Caenorhabditis elegans: one gene and its partners. The protein of the gene in region 1 purifies or fractionates together with the protein of each later gene. This does not show direct contact. Each region holds a gene or a part of one and is shown in the gene's direction. Other genes may lie near its edges. The genes, in order: C43E11.9, snu-13, Y48A6B.3 and F10E7.5.

Region 1 (6,166 bases):
CATCAACCACCGGATCGTCTCCTTGTGCTGCGAGAGCCTGTAAGCATTAGTTTGGAATTTTCATTTTTATTTCTAATTTGGCAAGTACCTCTCTAAGCCTTTCCTGCAGCACAGCTTTCACCCCTTTCGTGGATAGTTGGCGGTTTTCGAGCTCTTCTTTCAGTTCTGTCACTTTGAGTGAAGACAACGGACGTCCGTCCACTAAAATATCCTCGTCCGCCATACTGTATCGATTTTTCTGATAAGCTAGGTTTCGAAACCTGCAATTAGGAGAAAAAATACGTTTTTTTTTTTCAAAGATGGTGGAAATTAAAGAAAAAAAATAAATATTGTGTTTTAAAATTCGAAAATAAAAATGCGCAAAGGGAAAGGCGTCAGCAATAGTCGCTGGCGTCAAAATTATTGAGGAAAGTGCGCTCTAATGCGAGAAATAAAATAAATCGCACCGATTCTCCTATTTTTCGTAATTTATTTTATTTTCCAGATATGTAATTAATTTCTTTGGCGTTCTCCAATTTTATTTTGTTTTAAAATTTAACATATAGCCGAACGTAAACATAAATATTCAAAAGCTTTGAGCAGAAATTTCAGTTTTTATCGATTTTGCAGGGTTTTGCTTTAAATTCCCAATTCTTTACGTTGTAAGCTTGATAATTGCGAATGATTTCAGATGAGTAGTAAATCCGGATCTACTCGCAAATCTCAGAGGGCACGTGATTTTGAAGAATCTGAAGAAACAGAGGTACATATTTTTGAAATTCAAATTTAAGCTGTCATTTCACTTTTCTTTAGAAACCTTCTCTAACCCGGCGAAAAAGTTCAAGATTATCAACACAGTCTGTACCAATTGAGAAAAAGGTTTGTTTTTTATTGTGCTTCGATATCGAAAGAATTCGATTAAAAATTAACACATCTTCAATTATTCCAGAAGACTCCCTCGTCAAAAACAACGAAGCGTGTGCCGGTAAGCGAACGAGTGTTTCACGAAGAAGTTGAATCAAGTTCCGAAGATGAATTGTTGCCCCAAACAAAGATGGCATCTGAAGAAAAACGAAAATTGCTTCTGAGTCCCGGATCATCGCTAGCAGATCGTGTCGAGAAACTTGAAGTTAGAGCACTAGGAATGTGGAATAACTGAAATGTTAAATTTTTTAGATTTCAAGCCCACGAGCCAGAGGTAGACCACGAAAAGCTACAAACTTGAAGAGCCAATTGACAACTCCACGTACTCCGGAAAAACAGTCGAGGTCACGATCTGGATCTCAGGGAACACCAGAGAAAAAGTCGCGAAAAGAGAGCTCATCGGAATCTGACAGCGAAGAAATTATTTCAACATCTTCCGAAGGGGCTTTGAAAGGAAGACGTGAAGAATTTGATTCACTGAAATTATGGATTATGAAAAGTAAAGAAACGAATACTTCGTTGTCTATTTATGTCAGTGGACAACCTGGAACTGGAAAAACTGCGACCACAATGAGAGTTCTTAAATCATTGGGAAAATCAGTTCGAAGTTGTATTGTAAATTGCGCTTCAACAAATACCAAATCAGCACTATTCAAAACGATTTTCGAATCTTTGGATTTGGACGGAAAGCCGAATGAAGAAATTTTTGAGAAGCACGTGAAGCAATTCAAAACTCCTCTGGTACTGGTTCTCGATGAGATTGATCATCTCGCGAATCGAAAGAACGCTGCACTCTACGCAGCTTTTCAATGGCCAGAGACGTTGTCTCGAAAAATTATCATTCTTGGAATTGCAAATTCGATTGATTTGACAGAACGACTTCTTCCAAAATTGATGCTCGCGAAGCCACCGAAAAGACTCGTTTTTGAACCGTATACGAAAGATGACATCGTAGAAATTTTGAATGATAAAATGAAAAACGAGGAGGTAAGTTTAAATTTAAAGGATGAGTATCGGTTTTCGGCTTGTATAGACTCAAAATGTACCAAAAAAAACTAATTTTGTAGTGAGAATTTTCAAAAAAACAATTATGGTGGCTAAAAAATTTCGAAGAAAAAAGCTATTTTTAAATAAAATCACCAATTTCGCCCATTTTCTAAGAACTTTTCAGCAGTCTCATTATGAAATTCTTTCGTTTGCGCACATTTTGATTCTTTCCAAGCGAAAAACTCAGAGAACCGGTGCTCCTAAGTTCATTTAGTATTTTACATTTTATAATTTCAGACTTCAATTGACGCAAAGGCAATCGAGTTAACCGCTCGTAAAGTGGCTGCAATGAGCGGAGATCTTCGTACCGCACTCCACATCTTCAAACAACAAAAAAGTCGTATGATTCCTGATGATTCAAAAGTTCCTGGTACCCCAGTTAATGGATGTCGTGAAGTTCTTGGAATCATCAACAATGTCTATTCGTCTCCATTGGCTCGTGCTCGTCTTCCACTTCAACCTCGAATTCTTCTAGCTGTCTCTTTAACACTTTCTGCCAACAAGAAATGCACATTCGATCGGAATTCCCTGCTCCGTGCCTATTATAAAGCTTGCGAGGCTCTTCGAATGCCCGCTCTTGATGACGATGAACTTCATTCAGCGTTCCAGACTCTCGAATCTCAATCCTTCGTCCGTCAGTTAAACGGCGGAAAGCTAGTTCTTCAAGTTGATGCTCCGACGGCAAAATCGGCTATCAGTGACAACGCGATGCTTGATCAAATTGGACTCCTTCAATTTTAATCGCATCTCCTGTAACATAATTTATATCCACTTCTATTTATTGAAATATTGAAAAAGTTTTGAATTTCTTACTTTGGCATTTCCCTGTAAACTTTATCATTCCTCTCACTTCCTTTCAACGCGTTCTCTCTTCTGAATACCTGTCCCTTTACCTTCGGGTACACGTTCTGTGTAATTTATAAACGTTCTCCATATTTATTACAAAACTTTTTGCTCTGAATTTTGGTTTTATATTCCAAAATTTTTTATCTTTATTTTATTATGTCTATAATTATTCTACCCATTTCTTAATTATTCAGATGCGTCCACTGACAGAAGAAGAGACATCGCTTGTATTTGCCAAGTTGGCCTCGTTCATCGGAGACAATGTCTCGATGCTCATCGACAGAAATGATGGAGATTATTGCTTCAGAAATCACAAGGTATTAATTAATTGTTCTTTATCCAATAAAAACTCGATTTGTTCTTCAGGAACGTGTCTATTACTGTTCGGAAAATCTGATGCGTCAAGCCGCCTGCATTGCCCGTGAGCCACTTCTCTCTTTTGGAACTTGCTTGGGAAAGTTCACCAAAAGCAAAAAGTTCCATCTCCAAATCACCGCTCTCGACTATTTGGCGCCGTATGCCAAGTTCAAGGTGTGGCTGAAGCCGAACGCCGAGCAGCAATTCCTTTACGGAAACAACATTCTCAAGTCTGGAATCGCAAGAATGACCGACGGAACTCCAACTCATGCTGGAATCGTCGTATACTCGATGACCGATGTTCCATTGGGGTATGTTCACATTTAATATTCAAGTTAATTAAATATATTTCTCTAGATTCGGAGTGTCAGCGAAAGGAACATCAGACAGTAAGCGTGCCGATCCAACTGCTCTCGTCGTTCTACATCAATGCGATCTTGGAGAGTATCTCAGAAATGAGAGTCATCTCGCTTAATCGGATTTTGGTCTCCATTCAAAAATTTTAAATTCCACAATTTTTCATTTTTCATTGTTATTCTCTTGTTGATGTTGTTTTTGTTGGTCTTCCTTTCAAAATTTTTCATTCAATTATAAAAAATTCAATCTAATTCTGATTCATTCAGGATTCACTTATTGAACAAAAAATTTGAAAAGGTTACGAGTAATAGGCCTAGTTAGTTGAGGTAAAAGCTGAAGAAGTCGAATCGGTGCATCGTCTCCATTTGCACGAAAATATGAAAGCAGGGATACCATGGATGGAAATCGATCGGCAATTGCTTCGGCTCGATTCTGAGACATTCCCGGGCAAACCATCAGCTGTCGGACCCAAGCTTCTTTCACAGTTTCCGCCTTCTTTTTCTGGAGAAGATTCTGGAGTTGGCTGAATGGAACACCCGAAATTTCTTCTATGGCCGCTTTGTTCTGCAAACGAATCGTCACTTCCTTGAGAAATGCAGCTGTGTCTCGAGTATCAGAGCATCTTTGAATAAGATATCCTCCATTGGAAAGAGTTGATGCTACGGCCTGGAATTTTTGTTAGAATTTTGAAAAATCATCAGATTCTAATTCTATATTCTACCTGTTCGCAAGCAACATCTCCTTTATGTTGAGCTTCAATCAAATAAACTCGATTCTTCATCGGAGCCATATTCAATCGTCCTTTCTGCTCATCATATCTACCTCCACGAATACTTGATTGCAGATCATCCCAAGTTTTCCGTTCTACAACCCAATCCATCACAATCTCAGTTCCATCAATCTTTCGACAAATCCATATGTAATCTCCAACGGAAAGAGAACGAATATCAACTCGAATATCTTCTTTTTTCACGAGATGCTCGATTACCGACTTGAAACGTGGATTGTTGCGATGCTCACGATTGTCTGCGATTAGATAGACCTGGAAAAATACCTCGTTTTTTTTTAATTTGAAGGTGGAGTAAATAGCTGACCATTTTTTCGACACCAAAACATTGGGTTTTTGATGAAAATTTGGTTTTTTGTTGGTATTTCACTTTTTGCACTGCAACGATTTTTGCATATTTTTGTTAATCGTTTTTAAAAAATATTGTTAAATGTTTTTTTTTCGAGCTCAAAAATGTTCAAGTTTCAAAATCTTTTTCGATAAATTTCGAAGGAACGGACGAAAACTTATGAAAAATGGCAGAAGTTTCTGCAACTTATTAGGAGTTGGGAGCTACAGTACTCCTGAATATTAGTCGCTTCGAGATCGGGTACCGTATGCAAAAACCGCAAAATCTCGCGAGCCAACCAATAAGCGTCTTCCAACTCCGCCCACTCCATCTGATTGCTGGGGCGGAGCTATTCGCTGATTGGTCGGACAGTTCTCATTTCGGAGGGAGTTCAAAAATCTTTTTTTTTTAATTTTCCATTGGATTTTCTATTACTTGCCGATTTTTTTCTATTCTGGAATCCTTTTCTGCAAAAATTAGATTTAAATACTAACAGTTGGCTGCTCAAAAGGTCGACAAGTGAGAAGTCTGAAAGATAATGGATCTGATGAATTAGATGATGATGAGGAAGTAGACGAAGAAGACGAAAGATTTCCACTTTGTGATCGTATCAAGCTCGGCTGGACGGGCTTCGAAACTTGAAAGCTTTTCGTTTTAGTGAGTGGAACACTTGGTTGCTTGTCATCATCTCCATCCGATTCGAATTCATTTTCTATATCAACAATGGTTTTCGTTGATTTCTGTTTTTCCAATCTTTTCGCATCCTTCATCCGTTCTGTTGTTGATTTTCGATTTGTTAAGAACCGGCGATAATCGTCTGTCGTGAATTTTTTGATGCTTCGTAGAGTTGGATCCTGGCCATTGTTCTCTCGGCAGGCGACGTTCCACGTTTCTTCCAATTTTAGAGCAATATTCTCTCCGATTCCTGAAAATTCAATATATAGATTTTAAAAATCTGGAATTCGATTTTTTTATTTATTAATACCCTGCACATTTTTCAAATCAACAATTGTCAGAATCTCGAATGGGCACTTTCTCAGATTCTCGTGAGCTTTGTGCAGAACATATTTGAGCTTCCGATCTTCTTGCTCTTGATGTTGGAATTTTAAAACTCTGAAAATTGACGAATAATTTCTTTGGATCAAAATTTGAAAATTACTTTTCGAAAAAAGTGTTCTTCGAATGCTCAATTCTCACTGTGACCCGTTTTGATTGATTCGACATCTGAATAGAAAAATTTAGGAATATCTCAACGCGCTCCATGGCTAATCGAAAACACTCCGCCCCCGAGCCATGGGTCTCGTTAGGAATTTAATTAATTTCGGAAATGTCTGCAATTTTCAAGCATTTTTCGTTATGTTTTCCGTTGTTTTTAATTAGTTTTTCGTTGGAATTGATAAAAAATTGAGTCATGAATAAAAAAATTAGTCGCGAAGTAATAAAACATTTGAATTTACGGTAAGTCTGCCAAATACCTAACGAGACCCATGGTTCGAGGGCGGAGAGTCTCTATTGATCGTGGAGCGCAGTTACACTTCGAT
Region 2 (5,742 bases), on another chromosome or scaffold:
TTAAAAAACAGACAACCATAAAAGAAAAACGGCGGAAAATTAGCCAAAATTGTGTCAAAATATTTTTTTTTGTTTTTCTTTTATGGTTTTTTTTTCTGAATTTGAGAAAATCACCATTAACCTTTAAAAAAATTAAAACTTTAAACTCACTTCAATGGTCTCTCCTTAAACTCGAATCCATCGTTTTGAAGTGCATTGCACACTGACGCTTGCTGTGAGAATTCAACATAAGCATATGCACACGGCAATGCATCCGGTCCCGAGGCCATTCTGGCGTACATTACCTGAAACGTGAAAATATATTTAATTTTGTTAAATACAAATGTTGTATTTTTTTCAAATTTCTAATTCATTTCTAAATTGTCGGTTGCAAACTTTCTACTCGTTTTGAAATTATGTGCACAATAATCGAGAGAAACTTAGAAACTATTCGGTCACCGAAGGAAGTTTCTACAAAAACCGTAATCTGCAGAATATGTTTCGATAACGATACGGTAATTTTTCTTTTCAATTTCTAATTTAGCAATATATTTCTAGAGTTCCGACAGTCTGATCAAGCCATGCTCTTGTAGCGGAACAGTCGCCTACGTTCACAATGGATGCTTGGAGCAATGGGTCCGTACAACATCAAACATTCAATGTACCATATGTCAGGATATGTTTGAGTTGATTCCGGCAGGATTGAAAGATTGGAACAAAATTACTCTGCCGAGACCACTTTCGGAACAGCTCGAAGACTATATGGAATTCGGATGTACTCTTGCGTGGGTGGTGTATATGCTGAGATTCGCATATGTCGGACTTCGTTATGGAAGCCGTTCGATGATCGAGAATGTCGATATGGCTATTGGAACAGGAATGATGCGCAGCTTTTGGTGGATGACATTTTGGTTCAATTTTCTTTACTATGGAGCAATGTGCTTTGTTTTCTTCGAGAAATGGCTTATTGATAATACAATTTTTAAGTTCAAGGATAGGTAATTTTCTATGTTTCTGATAACTTGATTTCTAACTGATATTTTCTAGATCTGGAAGCCCGTCAAGCCAAATTTCAATTGCAAGTCGATCTAGCAAGAGAGGAATGAAAATGCCAATAAATGCACATTGATAGAAATAAATCTTTCAAAAATATCGTTTTTAACCTACCTCTCCAAAATACATGTTGAACAGTTCGAGAACCTCGTTTCCATCAACACCTTTCGGAAGATTTCCAACGTAGACTGTTCTTCGAATTTCTTCGACTTTGGCAGAATCCGTGTCAGCCGGTAGAGGTGGATAAGCCGGTAGTCCGAGCTGCTCCAGTGTCGGATCGACTGTAATCAACTGAAAAATGGAATAATTAGACGGCGCGAAAACTAGAAATATTGCAATTTCTAAAATATCAGGAATTTGAAAATTTCTAAATTTAATTGCTTTCATATCCGACGATGCGCAGCATAGATTGGCGAGGATACACTGAAACTGAAAATTTAATCATTCGGCGAGTACTAACAAAGTTTTTTGATGATTTTCTGGATTACGCTTTCGGGATTTTACTGCATTCGTCATTTGGGTAGTGGCCAGTAGAACTGTAAAATGAACAAGTAACGTCCGTTACCACCAGACGCTAGTTGGAAAACTAGTGGGAAAATAAACTTACCAAAGCAGATCCATCGTCAGATTCTTGAATTTTATTGGTGACGTGAGGTGGGAGCTGTCGCTGACCAGCCGTTGTAGATCCACCACTGTTGAAAAAACTCTCCTCGTCCGGAATCACAGCTGAAAAAATGAAACTTTATGAAAAAATGCAGCTTTCAAAAAACTCACGATTCGGATATGGTAGGCAGACTATCGCGCAATCGATGACGACTGTGTTGGTGAGATGCTGAGCTACTTCGACACATCGCTCGTCGTCGAACTTGATAAAAGCAGTTTTCAGGAGAGTATTAGCTGTGATATTACCTTCTGATGGATAGACCTGAAAGAATAAATTTTTAATTGAAATTTTTAATCGAAAAATGTGTAAATTTGGAATAATAAACCAACCTTCAAATCCTGAATTTTTCCGAGATAGTTGAACATGTTGTAGATGTGATCCCTGGTAGCCGATGTCGAAATGTTGGCGACATGGAGAATTTTTACTTTTTCTTTCTCCTCCCCCGACATTCCTGAAAATAAAATAATCAATTTTCGTCTTGAAAAATAGAAAAACAAAATGTAGTTCAATAAATTTAAACCGGCGACGTAATTTCAAAATTAACATGTAAAAATCTATCGAAAAGGCATAAACTATTAGAAAAAGTTAGATTTTTATCGAAATTTCGTTTAAAATCGATAAAAATCAGATAAAACATGTAAAATTCAGGTTAAATCGAAAATAAATGCAGCCAAATTCGAATAAAAAAGAATCACTGCATGTTTGGCAGCGTGCCAACATCTTGTCGCTGCGAGACCCGTCCACTGTCTGCGTCTCTTTTTGGGCCCTTTTCGAAAATTACAAGTAGTTTTTTTCTCTTTTCTTTTGTTTCTCCCGTTGCCCGTTGTATTTTTCTTCGGAAATTAAATAAGTTGGTACAATAAATTAAAAATAAATGGAATTTTGATTATCTATTACTTTCAGATATGTTACTAGTGCAAATCATCGTAAAAATTTGAATTTACAGCTTTGAAATCGTTTTTATTATTTTTTCTCTTGAATCGATAAATAATTCTTTCGCATTGTAGCAATTTTCAACCATCTTTATTTCAGAAAAGAAGAAAAATGGCCGATGATGGAGTCAATCCGAAGGCCTTCCCACTGGCCGATACCAACTTGTCTCAAAAGCTCATGGATCTCGTCCAGCAAGCGATGAACTACAAACAGCTCAAGAAGGGAGCCAACGAGGCCACCAAGACTCTCAACAGAGGAATCTCTGAGGTAAGTGTATCGTAACCATGTTGAATTGCATTCCCATTTTCAAAATCAATTTTCGAACCAAATTAATTGAATTGTTTCAGATCATCGTCATGGCCGCCGATGCCGAGCCACTGGAGATTCTCCTCCATCTTCCACTTCTCTGCGAAGACAAGAACGTTCCATACGTCTTTGTTCGCAGCAAGGCTGCCCTCGGACGCGCTTGTGGAGTCACTCGTCCAGTGATCGCTGCTTCAATCACTCAAAACGAAGGATCTCAGCTCAAATCTCAAATTCAGAAGATCAAGGAGGACGTTGAGAAGCTTCTCATCTAAATCCTTCTTTTATCAATTTGTTGTTACGTTACCTCATTGTTGTTATATGATAATCCATTCATTGTTTTGTTGTCCCAAATTGCAAATACATCGTTTTTGAAAAAGAATGAACGTTTCTGCGAAACATGGACATCTGATTGTTATCAAATTGCATAATCGGCTACACTGTTCTAAAGTGTATCTTGGACACACAAGTACTTCATTGGCGTATGATGATGCGAGTAAATAAACCTCCCGGAACCGGTTGCATTCTAATTCGACCCCCGTTTGCCCTAGAATGTGTCTCTTCCTAACCATTGGCTTGCTAATTCCACCCCAAACGCCGTCACAACCCGATAGGGCCGCCAAAAAAAAGGCAATCGCTGATAACTACAGGGAGTCGCTTCCTCCGGGAGAAAAGACGGTTTCTGGCAAGGCAAGCACCGCCCATCTCCGTGTGCTCTGTCTCTCCATTCCCGCCGCTCCGTGTTCCCACCAACATGCAACAGTTTTCTCTACTCTTCAAACTATTTCTAGCCACAGTTTTATTATCTGTAACTTATCGCTTTGTATGTGATCGGTTATATTCAAATCACAAATCCGATGTTAGTGGATTTGTCGATGAACGTTTCGAGAAAGTTCGAGAGGTTTTTAAGTAAGTTCGACCTTCCTGCTCTCTTTTTTTCTCATTTTTCTACCCGTGTGAAGTGACAAATGTGTTTGACTGAACTGAAATTAATATTTACTTTGCCGGCATGCGTACAGGCAAATAATCTTTTTCTATCGTCATCTTTATTTTATTTTAAAAAAAAGAAAAGGAAAATGTCTTGCAAAAATCCTGGAACTTGTATTTTTACAGAAAGAATTTCGAAAATGGATGGGAAATCGAAGGATCAGCATTCGCTGTATTTGTTGATGGAAAGAAAGTCGTCGATTTATGGGGTGGATATGCTGATAAGCAGGCGGCAAGGAAGTGGGCTGAGGTAGATTTTTGAAAACAAAAAAAATAAAATCAAGCATTTTTCAATTTCAAACTTTTTTACTATAAATCTTGGGTTTTTTGCACCAAAAATACGGTTCCCCAGGTTTTTTTTCGATTAAAAAATAATTTTCCTCGAGATTTGGTTTTTTTTCCAATAAGTAAATTTGTTTTTATCGAAAAACTACGAAAAATCGATAAGAAAAATTCCGCTGCAATATAAGTTCAAAATTACAGTACTGTTTAAAGGTGCACACAAAAATACGGTTCCATAGGTTTAACCACGACACATTTATAATAAATGCGAAAAGACGTGCGCCTTTAAAGAATACTGTAACTTTTAACATCTGTTGTTGCGGAGTTTTTATCGATTTATCGTAGTTTTCTCATTATTTTCGTAAGCTTTTTTTGTTTCCATAATGTATTAAGTAATTAAAAAAATCATGAAACTTGTCGTGTCGAGACAGTATTTTTGACTCAAAATTTCGCACCTGAATTTCCAAACTTTAACCCAATCTAATACTTTGCCCTTATTTGGAATAATTTATCGTCGGTTTCCCTCATAGCTTCGACATATATTTTTCCACTGTCGTCAGATTGATATGAACTGATAATAATATCAATTTGATACGGGGAGTTTTTCGGTTCAAAACGGTTTTTGAAGTCTATAAAATTGAATGGAATGGCACAAAAACAGAGAAAACATTTTTGAAAAAAGTTGTGACATATCAGCAAAACACAAAAATTTTTAAAAAAATTGATTGTTTCAGGACACAATAACAGTGACGTTCTCGACTACAAAAGCTGCCGCGTCATTAGCAGTTGCACTGCTCTACGAGCAAGGAAAATTGAGATATGATGACCCAGTATCCAAGTATTGGCCAGGATTTGGAACTCATGGAAGAGATAATGTTACTATAAATATGGCACTTTCTCATATGTCTGGAATGGCATGGTTTGACACTCCAATCACTGAAGAAATCGCCGCGGATCATGAAAAAATGCGGCAAATTATTGAAGAAGAAGAGCCAAAATGGGCTCCTGGAACAAAGACTGGTTATCATGCATACACTTTTGGATGGCTAGTTGATCAAATTGTTAGACATACGGATGATCAAAAACGTGGAATTGGACAGTTTTTTAGAGAAGAAATTGCAACGAAATTGGGTAAGTAGTTTTCTATAACCTAGGTGCAAAAATGTGGCGGTTTTTTTTTTCGATTTTTATTAATCGAAAAACTAAAAAGTCCAGATTTCTCTCTTTTTTTCTACTCGAAAAATGGAAATTTTCGATTTTTCGTCTTTTTTAACCGAAAAACGAAGATATTCGATTTCTACTTTTTTTTAATTGAAAAACTATAAATAAGTAGTTCCCTATTACACATTCGTGCCGAAAAACTGAAAATTAGCAATTTTGTTTTAATAAAAAATTGCGTTCGCCTTTAAAGAGTACTGTAATTTCAAACTTTTGTGGCTGCGGAATTTTCATGAATTTTTCACAGTTTTCTCAGGATTAGTGAAATAAAAATTTTTTCTTCGATCTCTAGCTTTTGTAATCGAAAAACGAGAAATTTTTGA
Region 3 (6,098 bases), on another chromosome or scaffold:
GGATTTGTTTCATTATTCATGGAAGAAACTTGGAGGTTTTGTGAAATTATACACATGAAAACCGATTGCCAAAAAACACAGGGAATGTCTAGAGCAGGGATGTGTAGCTCGGCAAATTTTGAAATTTGTCGCGCCTATGAATTTCTACCAGAAAATACCAAAGAAAGTATGCTAGATTGTACGGAAGAATTTTTTAAAAAATTGATAAAAATATATATGTATGCCAATCTACTTTTTTGGTATGCCAATCTATTTTTTGGTATGCCAATCTATTTTTTGGTATGTCAATCTATTTTTTGGTATGTCAATCTATTTTTTGGTATGTCAGTCTATTTTTTGGTATGTCAATCTATTTTTTGGTATGTCAGTCTATTTTTTGGTATGTCAATCTATTTTTTGGTATGTCAATCTATTTTTTGGTATGTCAATCTATTTTTTGGTATGTCAGTCTATTTTTTGGTATGCCAATCTATTTTTTGGTATGTCAATCTATTTTTTGGTATGTCAGTCTATTTTTTGGTATGTCAATCTATTTTTTGGTATGTCAATCTATTTTTTGGTATGTCAGTCTATTTTTTGGTATGTCAATCTATTTTTTGGTATGTCAATCTATTTTTTGGTATGTCAATCTATTTTTTGGTATGTCAGTCTATTTTTTGGTATGCCAATCTATTTTTTGGTATGTCAATCTATTTTTTGGTATGTCAGTCTATTTTTTGGTATGTCAATCTATTTTTTGGTATGTCAGTCTATTTTTTGGTATGTCAATCTATTTTTTGGTATGTCAATCTATTTTTTGGTATGTCAATCTATTTTTTGGTATGTCAGTCTATTTTTTGGTATGTCAATCTATTTTTTGGTATGTCAATCTATTTTTTAGTATGTCAATCTATTTTTTGGTATGTCAATCTATTTTTTGGTATGTCAATCTATTTTTTGGTATGTCAATCTATTTTTTGGTATGTCAATCTATTTTTTGGTATGTCAATCTATTTTTTAGTATGTCAATCTATTTTTTGGTATGTCAATCTATTTTTTAGTATGTCAATCTATTTTTTGGTATGTCAATCTATTTTTTGGTATGTCAATCTATTTTTTAGTATGTCAATCTATTTTTTGGTATGTCAATCTATTTTTTGGTATGTCAATCTATTTTTTGGTATGTCAATCTATTTTTTGGTATGTCAATCTATTTTTTGGTATGTCAATCTATTTTTTGGTATGTCAATCTATTTTTTAGTATGTCAATCTATTTTTTGGTATGTCAATCTATTTTTTGGTATGTCAATCTATTTTTTGGTATGTCAATCTATTTTTTGGTATGTCAATCTATTTTTTGGTATGTCAATCTATTTTTTAGTATGTCAATCTATTTTTTGGTATGTCAATCTATTTTTTGGTATGTCAATCTATTTTTTAGTATGTCAATCTATTTTTTGGTATGTCAATCTATTTTTTGGTATGTCAATCTATTTTTTAGTATGTCAATCTATTTTTTGGTATGTCAATCTATTTTTTGGTATGTCAATCTATTTTTTGGTATGTCAATCTATTTTTTGGTATGTCAATCTATTTTTTGGTATGTCAATCTATTTTTTGGTATGTCAATCTATTTTTTAGTATGTCAATCTATTTTTTGGTATGTCAATCTATTTTTTGGTATGCCAATCTATTTTTTGGTATGTCAATCTATTTTTTGGTATGCCAATCTATTTTTTGGTATGTCAATCTATTTTTTGGTATGTCAATCTATTTTTTGGTATGCCAATCTATTTTTTGGTATGCCAATCTATTTTTTGGTATGTCAATCTATTTTTTGGTATGCCAATCTATTTTTTGGTATGCCAATCTATTTTTTGGTATGCCAATCTATTTTTTGGTATGTCAATCTATTTTTTGGTATGTCAATCTATTTTTTGGTATGTCAATCTATTTTTTGGTATGTCAATGTAAATGCTGTATTTTTCAAAAATTCAAAAGTACTATAAAATCATATGAAGCGCTTCTTTTTTATTTTATAAAACTGTTTAGCATTGCCAAATATACCAGAAAATACCAAAAAAAGTATACTAGCTTGTCCGCAAGTATTTTAAAAAATTGATAGAAATATATAAAAGCTGTATTTTTCAAAAATTCAAAAGTGCTGGAAAATCATATGGTTCTAAATTACCAGATTATCCCAAATTTCATAACAAGATTTTCAAGACAATGTTCAACTTTTATTCATAAATTAATTGCTTCAGTTTGAATTATCCAAACTTGGATGGTAGGTCGAATCCCATGATGATATGTCGGTCTGAGGCAGGTCGAATATGGTTAGCTCGAGGTTTTCCAACAACCGACAAGATGGAGAGTACAGCAAACACTAAAACGCAATAAATGTTCATTTGAAGAACCGAAGTGAGGAAAAGGTTTGTGATCGGAAGGCTTTTATTCCACCCACATCGATAAAGTTAGTTCCGGGAGCGGGAGCATCAAAGATGTATGCTTCGATGCTTAAAAACCTTGTGATCATTTGCACGGAAAATATAAGTTTGCAAATACACTCAAATCATACAACGCAAGTCGAATTGTTAATGTTAGGGGTTCCAAAACGCCTGCCTGCCTGACCTTAAGGCGGCCTCCGCCTGCCTCTCGTGAGGCCCTGAAACCGTGCCTGCCTACCTAGCCTCAACTACCTAACAGAAAACTGCTCAATATGTAGGAGCATTTTGGACTAGAAAAATAAATTTGAAATTTTTTAATTTTGTCTCGCACTTCTTTAGAGTCCCGTAGATTAACTCCAATTTGGGATTTTTTTTTTTCAAACTTTCTACTTCAAAGTCCCATTTTATTAGGTCATAGATTTTCCATCTAAGCCTAAGCCTAGGAATTAGCCTAGGCCTAAGCCTCAGTCTAAGCCTAAGCCTAAGCCCTAAAAACTGAAAGGCCTGCGGCGCGATTAACAAGATTATAAGCCCAAAAAACAGAGTTTGAATGTTCAATATTTATCAGTAATCAACAGAAACTGCACAAAAATTATTGTGGACGTGGTGCACCGATGATGACTCCGCTTCCGTATCCACTGCTTCCTCCGCACTTCTTTCCTCCTTGTGGCAAGAAGATTCCAGAAACTGAAGAAATAGCCAAGATGGCGAAGACGCAGACAGAGTAGACGTTCATGATGATGATGAAGAAGAAGAAGATGCTTCTGATGCTTGAATTCTGGAAGAAGTTGGCTTTTATAGTACCGTGTAGGGGGCGGGTGGGGGGTTCGGGGACATAAAATTGTTATATTTTAGTTGCGATTTTGATGATAACTCGTAAAAATTGAAGTTTGAGCGTTTCGGGGAAGCGGAGAGGCTGCAAAACTTGCAAAAATCGGAGTCAGGAACAGTTGAAAATTCAACAAAACGAATTTCCCTGAAAATCTCTAATTTGAATTCCCGCCAACGAATTGTCTGCGTCTCCACTCTCTGGGATGTGGGCGAACGCGCTCCACTGCACATTTCGATTCGATTTCTCTTTTTTCTCTTTTGACGCATTTTCACATAATTATTGTATTTTTCGAAGTTTTCTGCGGGTTTTCTCCGATTTTTTTCGATAAAATTAAATTTTAAAATTCGGAAATATAATATTTATCAATTTTAAGCCATGAAATATCGTAAAATTCCTATGTAATCACCCATAATAGGATTTTTATCGATTTTTTGTTGCAAAAATCCCATTTTCATTGTTTTTCTTTTCCTAAAGCTAATTGAACTTTGCGGCTAATTTACACGATTAACTTATGAATTTTCAGAATCAAAAAATGGGCAAGCGCAATCTGGACGAGACAATGAACGAGTCGACCGTATCAGAAGCCAATGGAGACGCCACCGCACCAACCACCGAGAAGGACGAGTACCAGGCACTTTGCGAGCTGGTAAATCATTAATTTCGCTGGTTTTTTAATGAAAAATGTCTTATTTTCAGGTAAACCCAATCGCTCAGCCACTAGCAAACCGCAAGTTGGCCAAGAAGGTGTACAAGCTCATCAAGAAGGCCTCCGCCGGCGATAAAACCCTCCGTGAGGGCATCAAGGACGTGCAGAAGGAGCTCCGCAGAAACGAGAAGGGAATCTGCATTCTTGCTGGTAGGATTTTAATCTATTTTTCCCTTAAAACGTTCAATTTTTCAGGAAACGTCTCTCCAATCGATGTGTACTCACATATTCCGGGAATCTGCGAGGAGAAGGAGATCCCATACGTCTACATTCCATCTCGTGAGCAGCTCGGACTCGCCGTCGGACATCGTCGCCCGTCGATTCTGATCTTCGTCAAGCCGAGTGGGGACTTCAAGGAGCTGTACGACGAGGTCGCCGAGGCTCTCCGTCATCTCACCGTCGAGGCCGCCTAAATTGTTTTTTCTCTGGTTTTCACTGTTTTTTTTTTGTTGTTGATTTTTTAAAATTTCTTGATCTGTATCACCATCTTTATCCACAATTGTTCACTCATTAAATTGTTGTTATCTACAGACTTTTTCTTTTTATTCTTTAATCCTTTCTCGGTAATTTCCAAAACTCAATTTTGTTACTCGAAATCAATCTAAATCACAGCAAATCCCGTTCTAAACCACTTTCAGCTCAGAAAATGCTCGCCGAAACGCTTGTGGCGCCCGGCGACAAGGTTCTCGACGCGATTGGTGAATATCGAATGGGGAAGGGATTATACGAGGCGAATCGAAGGATCTTCGCGTCGGTAGCCGGTTTTGTCAACGTTTATGGATTCAGAGATGTAATTTTCGCACAAATCGCAAGCGTGGAGCCCGAAAATTTCCGTTTTTTCTGCAGAAATCCGACAACCTGGTGCAAGTGATCGAAGTTCGCCGCAGCGAAGATCAGCTCGACAATGAGCTTCTCCCATTCCACGGAGCCATCGTCACCGCCAAAGTGATGGCTGTCGGATTACGGTAGAGCAGCTTTTCGTTGCTCTGAAAACCGACAGAAAATATTGCAGATTCGCCAAATGTGACATCATCAGTATCGGCGATAAGGTTTACAAGAAGCGGTTCTCGGCGCTGCTGCCGAAAAAGAAGCTGAGGCCGCTGGAACCTGAATTGGTTGGATTTTGCCTGGATTGTGGGTCTCGCCACGAAAAAATTAAGAATTTCTGCTTACAAATGTGGGAAAAACCTTTTTTTTAGCAGAAAATTAGGTTTTTTTGCGAAAATTCTTATGAAATTTCGCATAAAAATGGCCGATTTTAAGGTTTTTTGCAGAAAAGTCGTCAAAATTCCTGATTTCTTGTGGAAACATCGGAAAAACATTGATTTTAGACTGATTTTCACTAAATTTCAACTGAAATTCTCGGTTTTTTACTCAAAAAACAAATTTCCCTCTTTTTTCTTATTTTAAAGCGATTTTCGAGCAAAATTTTTTTTTAAACATTAGATATGGGCCGAAATCGTGGCGAGACCCAAACTGAGAACCCAAGTAGTGTATCGCACAGAAAAAGAGGCGGAGCTTAAATTCGCAACCCTGCGGCACGGGGTTTCCTTCCTTTTTCGCATGTTTTACACTGATTTTTGTTGATTTTTTTCAATGAAGTTTAGATTTTACTAACTAAGAAGTGAAATTTTAAAAAATCAATAAAAAATGCAGTAGAAAACTGGCAAAAAGGTGGAAAAACCGTGCCGGAGGGTTGCGAAATTACGCTCCGCCTCTTTTTCTGTGCGATACTGCTTTAGAGGCAAAAAATTGAAATAAAGAGCATTTTTTGCAGAGTGAGCCATTCAAAAACTTTGTGCGACCCAACGACTACATTCTGGCAAAAGTTTGTGAAGACGCCGAAATCAAGGACAAATTCGTTTTATCGATCGCCGAAGACGAGCTAGGCGTTGTGCTGTGCCGTGGACGATTTGGTGAACCAATGCAAAAAGTCGACTGGAATACGGTGGTCTCGACACGAACCGGCAAAACGGAACCCAGGAAAATGGCCAAAGTTCCGCAAAAGTGCACATTGCCCACGCAATCGGTGGCCTGAATAATTATCCTCTCTGAAAAGATCTTTGAATCGTTATATTTTTGTACTTTTTTTTGTGTTTTTGGGGGCCATTGTTTCGAGGAAAAAAAAGTCATA
Region 4 (6,180 bases), on another chromosome or scaffold:
CTGTCTTTTTGGATAAGTATATTAAGACACAATCGTAACTGGCCATACTCCAACTTTAATTTTATTTAACATTTTTAACCCCATTTTTAGGTTTCTGTTCACTTTTTTGTCAGATAATATCTCGATTTTTGTTGAGTATATAAAACATTGTTCAACTATTAAAGAAAAAAATCTATAAATATCTTATCTAGATTTCAACCTAGTCGAAGAGTGATATTGCTCTAAATTTCTTACAGACAGAACTTTTCAAGGAATTGGTAATTTGCCAGAATTTTCACAGAAAATTTTCCAAGAAAAAACTAGATGGGAATACGGTATTTAAAATAATCAAGTTCTCCTCCGGGAAATCAAAAACCTACGATTTACTCAAATCTGCTGGAAGTCTCTGCATTATTTCCTGTTTTCAGTCAGAAATAAATTCAGTTATAATAAAAATGCATAGTAGCTCTCTGGAGACAGAAGGGTTCCGAATGGGGGAAAACAAAAACTGAGAATGGAATTGAGAGAAAAAAAAAGAAAAAAGAGATTTCATTACTTCATTCCATCCAGTGGATAATGAATGTGTTAAGTCCAGAGAGAAGGAGCAGTAATAGAAAGTGTCTTTCGGTTGGGCGTTCAATTTTCAAGAGCTACTCTTTTTTAAAGGGAAACAGAAAAATATGATGAATGAGACTATATAGTCAGTTTGAAGAAATGTAAATTGCGGTTTTTTCTGTGCACGTAACAATTCGAAATTTCATTAACTTTATTTTCTACATCAAGTTAAGAAATCTGTGAAATTTGGGAGCTATAGCGATCACGGTAACTGAGCTCGTGCCGATATTTTGAAACTTTGCGAATCTACTATATCTGTGTTGTCTTTACTACGACACCCCGCCTATTTTTTGAAGGTTTTGAATTACAAAGAAATAATTTAGATGTTACATTTTATTTAAACTCGGTTCCCACTTTTTCAAAAGACCAACCAAGGTGTTACAATCTAAATTCTCATGATCTTGTACCTTTGCCACCATGGTAATTGCGACGAATCGGCAGTTTCTCCTTGCGAAAAGATGGAATCAGGTGGTTCAACAACCACAGAATGTGATGACGACGGACCCGTCTCACTCATTCTGGAAGATGGATCTGAACCCAAATGAGACGGCGATGATGGTTGCCTGAAAATGTTTGGAAATTATGTTCTGAAGGATTTATCAGTAAAAGTCAATAAATAGAACCAAGTTAGACATTTTAGAATTTGATACGATTTTTCGTAAGACTATTTTGGTTGCATATGATCTATCTTTTTTGAGCCTGAACTATGAAAATACATTATTATTATTATTATTATTGAGAATTGAATTTCAAGAAATTTTACAGAATCATTTTCAATTTAACATATAACGCTCACCGTTGATGAACATCCATTAAACCACTATACATATTTAAATTACTAAATACTGTGTTCTTTTTCTAAACGGAATAGTTTTGTGGTTTTCGTTTATATCTTTCAAATCAATCTTGTGTAGAATCCTACTAGGAACTGGTCATTCATTGATTTTCTAAAAACCTAATTACTTGTTTCCGGAAAACTTCAAGTTTTCATGGTTTCGGGTCCTGGCACGAGTGCAACTTTTTAGCTACCGTACCCGCAAGTAGGATAGTCCTTCAATCTTTCACATTGCATTATCCTTTTTCATATTTGAATTAGTTCCAATAGTGAATCTTTAACGATATTTGCAACAAAAATATTTTAAAACTAGAGGTATCCGAGGTAGAACAGCGGAGTACGCGCGGGTACTGTAGCTGGAAAGTTCCACGTGCCAAGACACGAAACCGTAGTTTTGTTCAACTGCAACTATTTGCAAACAGCTCTGCTAAATAACGAAAATTTAGAATTCAAGATTTTGTTTCAAAAATTTCAAATATTCAATGAAGCGTGCTCCATCTTTTATTCGAGTCATGATGATTGAGATATGGAATTGGGAATTTCCGGAAACTGAAGAAACTGAATAAATTACATTTTGAGATTTTATGTATTAAAGATGATACGCTTTAATTCAAATGGAGCACTATGTCTAGTCGAATTTATCTAACAATTGAGTTTTGGCAATCGAATGAATTTATGGTAACCTGTTGTTTTTCATCGTTCAAACGCAAATTTAAGAGTCTGGAAAATAGAGAGAATGCATGGATGAACCAAAAAAAAAAAGAAAGAAAAATGCAGTGCTCACAACAAAACGAGAAAATGACTCTGCGTCTCTACATCCTCCTCAATCTTTTATTCGACATTTCCTCTGAAATTCGGTTTCAATTTCGAAATGAAAAAGAAGAGAAAAAAAGAGAAGTGGAATTTAAAAGCGACATGGAGAGGAGACGGCATTATTGATTTGGAGAGCTCATGGCTCTTGCTCGAAGAGCATGTATGCGCGACGACGTGAATTGAGAGAAGTGAGGGAAACGAGAAAAGGAGATGAAGTAAGAGAAGAAGAAGCTTCTCATCTGACGATACTTGATTGGGCTAATTGGGATGCAGATGAATCTTATGGGAATATTCAGATATAGAAGGGACCTACCATCTTCCAATTTTTTTTCTGAAACTTGAAACTGATCTAGATTTTCAGTCTAAACTGTCTGAAACTTCAACGTGGATATTCCATCTCAAAGAACTGATACAGAAAGCATGTATTATTTCACATAGGGAACTCGGAAAGTTTTGTTTCGTGTTGTTTCGTGTTGGATCTATAATTCTACATATCCCCTTCTGATATTTTTTCGTTTGAAACCATAAAAAGATGAAACTTATTTTAAGGTTACCGCTACTACATTCTCATTAAACCTATTTTAAAGAAATCATAGCATCTGACAATGTCAACCAATTTTTGTATCTTCTCCGCTATTGAGACTTCTTTAAATGAACTTGAATATTAGTTTTGGTTACGGTGTGCAAAGGTACGCAAACACCACTACGCGCAGTTGCACACAATCATTTTCTCTGTTTTTTTTTCTTGTTTCTTCATTTCTTCAACTTTTCCTATGTTGTTACTGCTACTTTTCAGCTTTTTATAGTTTAAATTGCAATTAAATTGTAATTTTCAGCAGTACTCTACACAATGGCTCGTTCCCGCAGAGATAAAAATGGTAATTTTGTTGTAAAATTAAATTATAGGCAAACTTTTTATATTTCAGTGTCACTCACAAAAGTCAAGAAGAAGACTAAGGACACAAAGAACAATTTGGTTAATGAGGTAAAATTTAAGAGTGAAGTGCTGACTAAATAATTATTTTTTTCCAGGTCCGTGCAAGTGTCGATCAGTACAAAAACCTTTTCATTTTCACGATTGCTAACATGAGAAGCACACGATTCATTGCCGTTAGTTAAAATCAGATTGAATTAAAATTTGATTACTTTTGAATTACAGATCAGACAAAAGTACAAGGAGAATTCAAGATTTTTCTTCGGAAAGAACAATGTCATTTCTATCGCTCTTGGAAAACAGAAGTCTGATGAGTACGCAAATCAGCTTCACAAAGCCAGTGCAATTCTGAAGGGTCAATGCGGTCTCATGTTCACCAACATGTCCAAAAAGGAAGTTGAGGCGTAAGTTTTGAGTAACCATTGCTTCTCTAATAGCATTTTATCTTCAGTGAATTCTCCGAAGCTTCAGAAGAAGATTACGCTCGTGTAGGAGATGTTGCCACAGAGACAGTTGTTCTACCAGAAGGACCAATTTCACAATTTGCCTTCTCTATGGAGCCACAACTGCGAAAACTTGGTCTCCCAACGAAACTTGACAAAGGAGTTATCACCCTCTACCAACAGTTTGAGGTGTGCAAAGAAGGCGAACCGCTGACTGTGGAGCAGGCTAAAATCTTGAAGCACTTCGAAGTGAAGATGTCTCAATTCCGTCTTATCTTCAAAGCTCACTGGAACAAGAAAGACGGCTTCAAAGAGCTTGATGCTTAACTTCTGCTAATCATCCTTTTATTGTTAATTTGTTGATTTGATTCTGATTCTCCTTGATTTGAAAACACCCACTCCATCCGAAAATTGTCGTTTATCATCTTGTTTTTTTGTTTATCCAATAAATTGTTACTTGTTTCAGAGTATTAATATTGATAAATATAGAAGGAGGTTAAATCCCAAACTTATTAAATATCCAATGATGATTATAAACCAACGAGAAAGCTGATTGTTCAGGAACATGTGGAGGGTTTTGTTATCTCGTTCCTCAATATTAGCTCAAGCCAGAGGATTGGCAACCAAGAGAAACGCACCTGAACCGAAGTTTACACAAAGTGCCGCATTTCAAGTAATTACCTCGAAGCATAAATAATTATTTTAGTAGATGTCTTTCAGGGTCGTGGATCTCGAGGAATGCCACAATTCAAGCCAGATTACTACTCATCAGACGCGTATGCCAACAAAAAAGTGCTATCAGCTATCGGAAGTCTTATAGCAATTGTAATCTATTTCGGTTGGCTCAGAGAACCATCAGATTTGGACGAAATATGGAGCGCTCCACCACACATTTTGACCTCCAATTTGGAGAGAAAAATGCTTCGAGAACAAATTAAGCAAGCTCAAGAGAAGGGAATGGATACAGCGCTTCTACGAGCACAATTGGAGTATGTGGATGTTAAGGAAGAAGCCTTGCGAATTCAATTCGAGCAGAAGACAAATCAACTGGCTAGAAGAAATCAACAATCATAAGTTAATTTCCTCTGTTCGACTAGGTCCATTTTAGCTTCTAGTTTTTAATATTTTATTTGAGGAAACGGGTCTGGTCAATGGCCTTGTTGTATCAAATTCGTGTTTATTTGAAAATTTTGAACTGAATAAATTTTATACCGAATGCAATAAATATAAAAAGACAACACGACTAGGTCGGATCTCAGTGTATGAGATGGAGAATCATTGTGCGAAATGCATTGAATTGTTTTTGCCGGAACGAATTCGAGAGGAAACTAGCAAGAAAAGCGAGATGAGCAGGATCGAGAGTACAACGAGAGCAGTAACAAGAAGACAGAAGAACAATGTAGAAGATTGTGATTCGCAGACAGACGATGTAGCTGAAGCGGAGGATCGTTGGGATTCTGAATAAAAAATTGAAGTACTTAGCATTTTTACGCATTTCTCAGGCGCGAAATTTGCGAATTTTGGGTCTATACTACAGTACCTGGTATCGACGCGACAAATGTTTTTTTAAAAGAAAACAGGCGTGCGTCTTTTGAAGAGTACTGTAATTTCACAATATGTTTTTATCGAAAAATGATTTAAAAAACCAATGAAAATTCCGCAACAGCAATGATAATTTGAAATTACAGTACTCTTTGAAGGCGCACGCCCGTTTTATTAAAACCTTTGGCTCAAAAATTCGCGTCTGAGTATTAATAGTTGTCGAATCTCACCGTAATACTCAACATCTTGTGGATTCTCGAAAACTCTTAATTCTCCGACCATTTCCATTTCTGGATATCCATTTTTCATTACAAATTGTTTTGGTGAACGTGGAGCAGTGTTGATCAGAATCTCACGTCGATGTCGTTTTGGATTATAACTATAACACTAATGATTTGAAAAAAAAATCAATTTCAGAAAAAGTTGTACCCAACGCCATAGTAAATGCTTCCCTTGGCTGGTGCTCTACGAACAAATTCAACTGAAGTATCTCCATTAGGGCCAGTCAAATCAGAAGGCATTGAAGCTGGAGGATGGATCTCATCTCTGAAATTTTTCAGATGTGTAATAAACCAGCAATTTGAATCAGTTTCTCACGCAAATACTTTTCCTTTGTCTGGATCTTCGTTGAATCGTTCTTCTAAAGACGGACATGCTTCAGGTGGCTAAAAGGAAATAAGCAGCAATGAGGTATAAAGGTTTAGTTTACTTACCGATAATCGTTTACAGTCATCCCCTTTCATACAAATCTTGATTTGACAGATAAAACGTGTTACTGTTCTTTGAGCAAATTTGAACACATGAGTTTCTTGAAATGCAATCGATTGTTCTCCATTATATATTGGAGTATCCATAACATAATGATCAATTCCACATCCATTTTGATCAATAATAAGAATCTTATTTCCCTGTCCATCTTCCACATGGCAATTCTGTACTAGAATCCCGTTATGATTTCCATCACAACTCCAAACATGGAATACACTGTCTCCAATTGAAGCATACTGTACTGGTGGACC

What was found.
Region 2: the proteins of C43E11.9 (region 1) and snu-13 fractionate together in Caenorhabditis elegans (co-fractionation; one large-scale study listed by BioGRID). This does not show direct contact.
Region 3: the proteins of C43E11.9 (region 1) and Y48A6B.3 fractionate together in Caenorhabditis elegans (co-fractionation; one large-scale study listed by BioGRID). This does not show direct contact.
Region 4: the proteins of C43E11.9 (region 1) and F10E7.5 fractionate together in Caenorhabditis elegans (co-fractionation; one large-scale study listed by BioGRID). This does not show direct contact.

Annotation. Positions count from the first base shown.
Region 1 is NC_003279.8:4,264,792-4,270,957, reverse strand, and holds C43E11.9 (60S ribosome subunit biogenesis protein NIP7 homolog), read left to right. Parts: upstream 1-2,990; coding exon 2,991-3,113; intron 3,114-3,162; coding exon 3,163-3,464; intron 3,465-3,510; coding exon 3,511-3,628; 3' UTR 3,629-3,759; downstream 3,760-6,166. Other genes in the region: acin-1 (SAP domain-containing protein), read right to left, coding at 1-37, 89-223; cdc-6 (Cell division control protein), read left to right, coding at 671-742, 793-858, 929-1,108, 1,156-1,890, 2,188-2,691; mus-81 (Crossover junction endonuclease MUS81), read right to left, coding at 3,784-4,176, 4,232-4,552, 5,120-5,550, 5,611-5,738, 5,785-5,849.
Region 2 is NC_003280.10:10,655,613-10,661,354, reverse strand, and holds snu-13 (Small nuclear ribonucleoprotein associated homolog 13), read left to right. Parts: upstream 1-2,728; 5' UTR 2,729-2,740; coding exon 2,741-2,896; intron 2,897-2,976; coding exon 2,977-3,207; 3' UTR 3,208-3,328; downstream 3,329-5,742. Other genes in the region: marc-2 (RING-CH-type domain-containing protein), read left to right, coding at 396-494, 538-977, 1,027-1,108; rsp-7 (putative splicing factor, arginine/serine-rich 7), read right to left, coding at 151-284, 1,147-1,323, 1,640-1,758, 1,807-1,957, 2,026-2,145; lact-3 (Beta-lactamase-related domain-containing protein), read left to right, coding at 3,687-3,841, 4,046-4,169, 4,936-5,332. UniProt on the Caenorhabditis elegans protein: Binds to the 5'-stem-loop of U4 snRNA and may play a role in the late stage of spliceosome assembly. The protein undergoes a conformational change upon RNA-binding.
Region 3 is NC_003281.10:11,004,441-11,010,538, forward strand, and holds Y48A6B.3 (Putative H/ACA ribonucleoprotein complex subunit 2-like protein), read left to right. Parts: upstream 1-3,781; 5' UTR 3,782-3,790; coding exon 3,791-3,904; intron 3,905-3,954; coding exon 3,955-4,114; intron 4,115-4,159; coding exon 4,160-4,377; 3' UTR 4,378-4,489; downstream 4,490-6,098. Other genes in the region: fipr-17 (FIP (Fungus-Induced Protein) Related), read right to left, coding at 3,019-3,162; exos-1 (Exosome complex component CSL4 homolog), read left to right, coding at 4,611-4,754, 4,811-4,929, 4,977-5,079, 5,742-6,002. UniProt on the Caenorhabditis elegans protein: Required for ribosome biogenesis. Part of a complex which catalyzes pseudouridylation of rRNA. This involves the isomerization of uridine such that the ribose is subsequently attached to C5, instead of the normal N1.
Region 4 is NC_003280.10:7,108,900-7,115,079, forward strand, and holds F10E7.5 (Ribosome assembly factor mrt4), read left to right. Parts: upstream 1-3,081; 5' UTR 3,082-3,092; coding exon 3,093-3,120; intron 3,121-3,168; coding exon 3,169-3,227; intron 3,228-3,274; coding exon 3,275-3,352; intron 3,353-3,401; coding exon 3,402-3,580; intron 3,581-3,627; coding exon 3,628-3,946; 3' UTR 3,947-4,083; downstream 4,084-6,180. Other genes in the region: F10E7.9 (Amino acid permease/ SLC12A domain-containing protein), read right to left, coding at 1,002-1,111; F10E7.6 (uncharacterized protein), read left to right, coding at 4,185-4,292, 4,340-4,693; cutl-5 (ZP domain-containing protein), read right to left, coding at 4,895-5,076, 5,392-5,540, 5,591-5,707, 5,759-5,826, 5,875-6,180.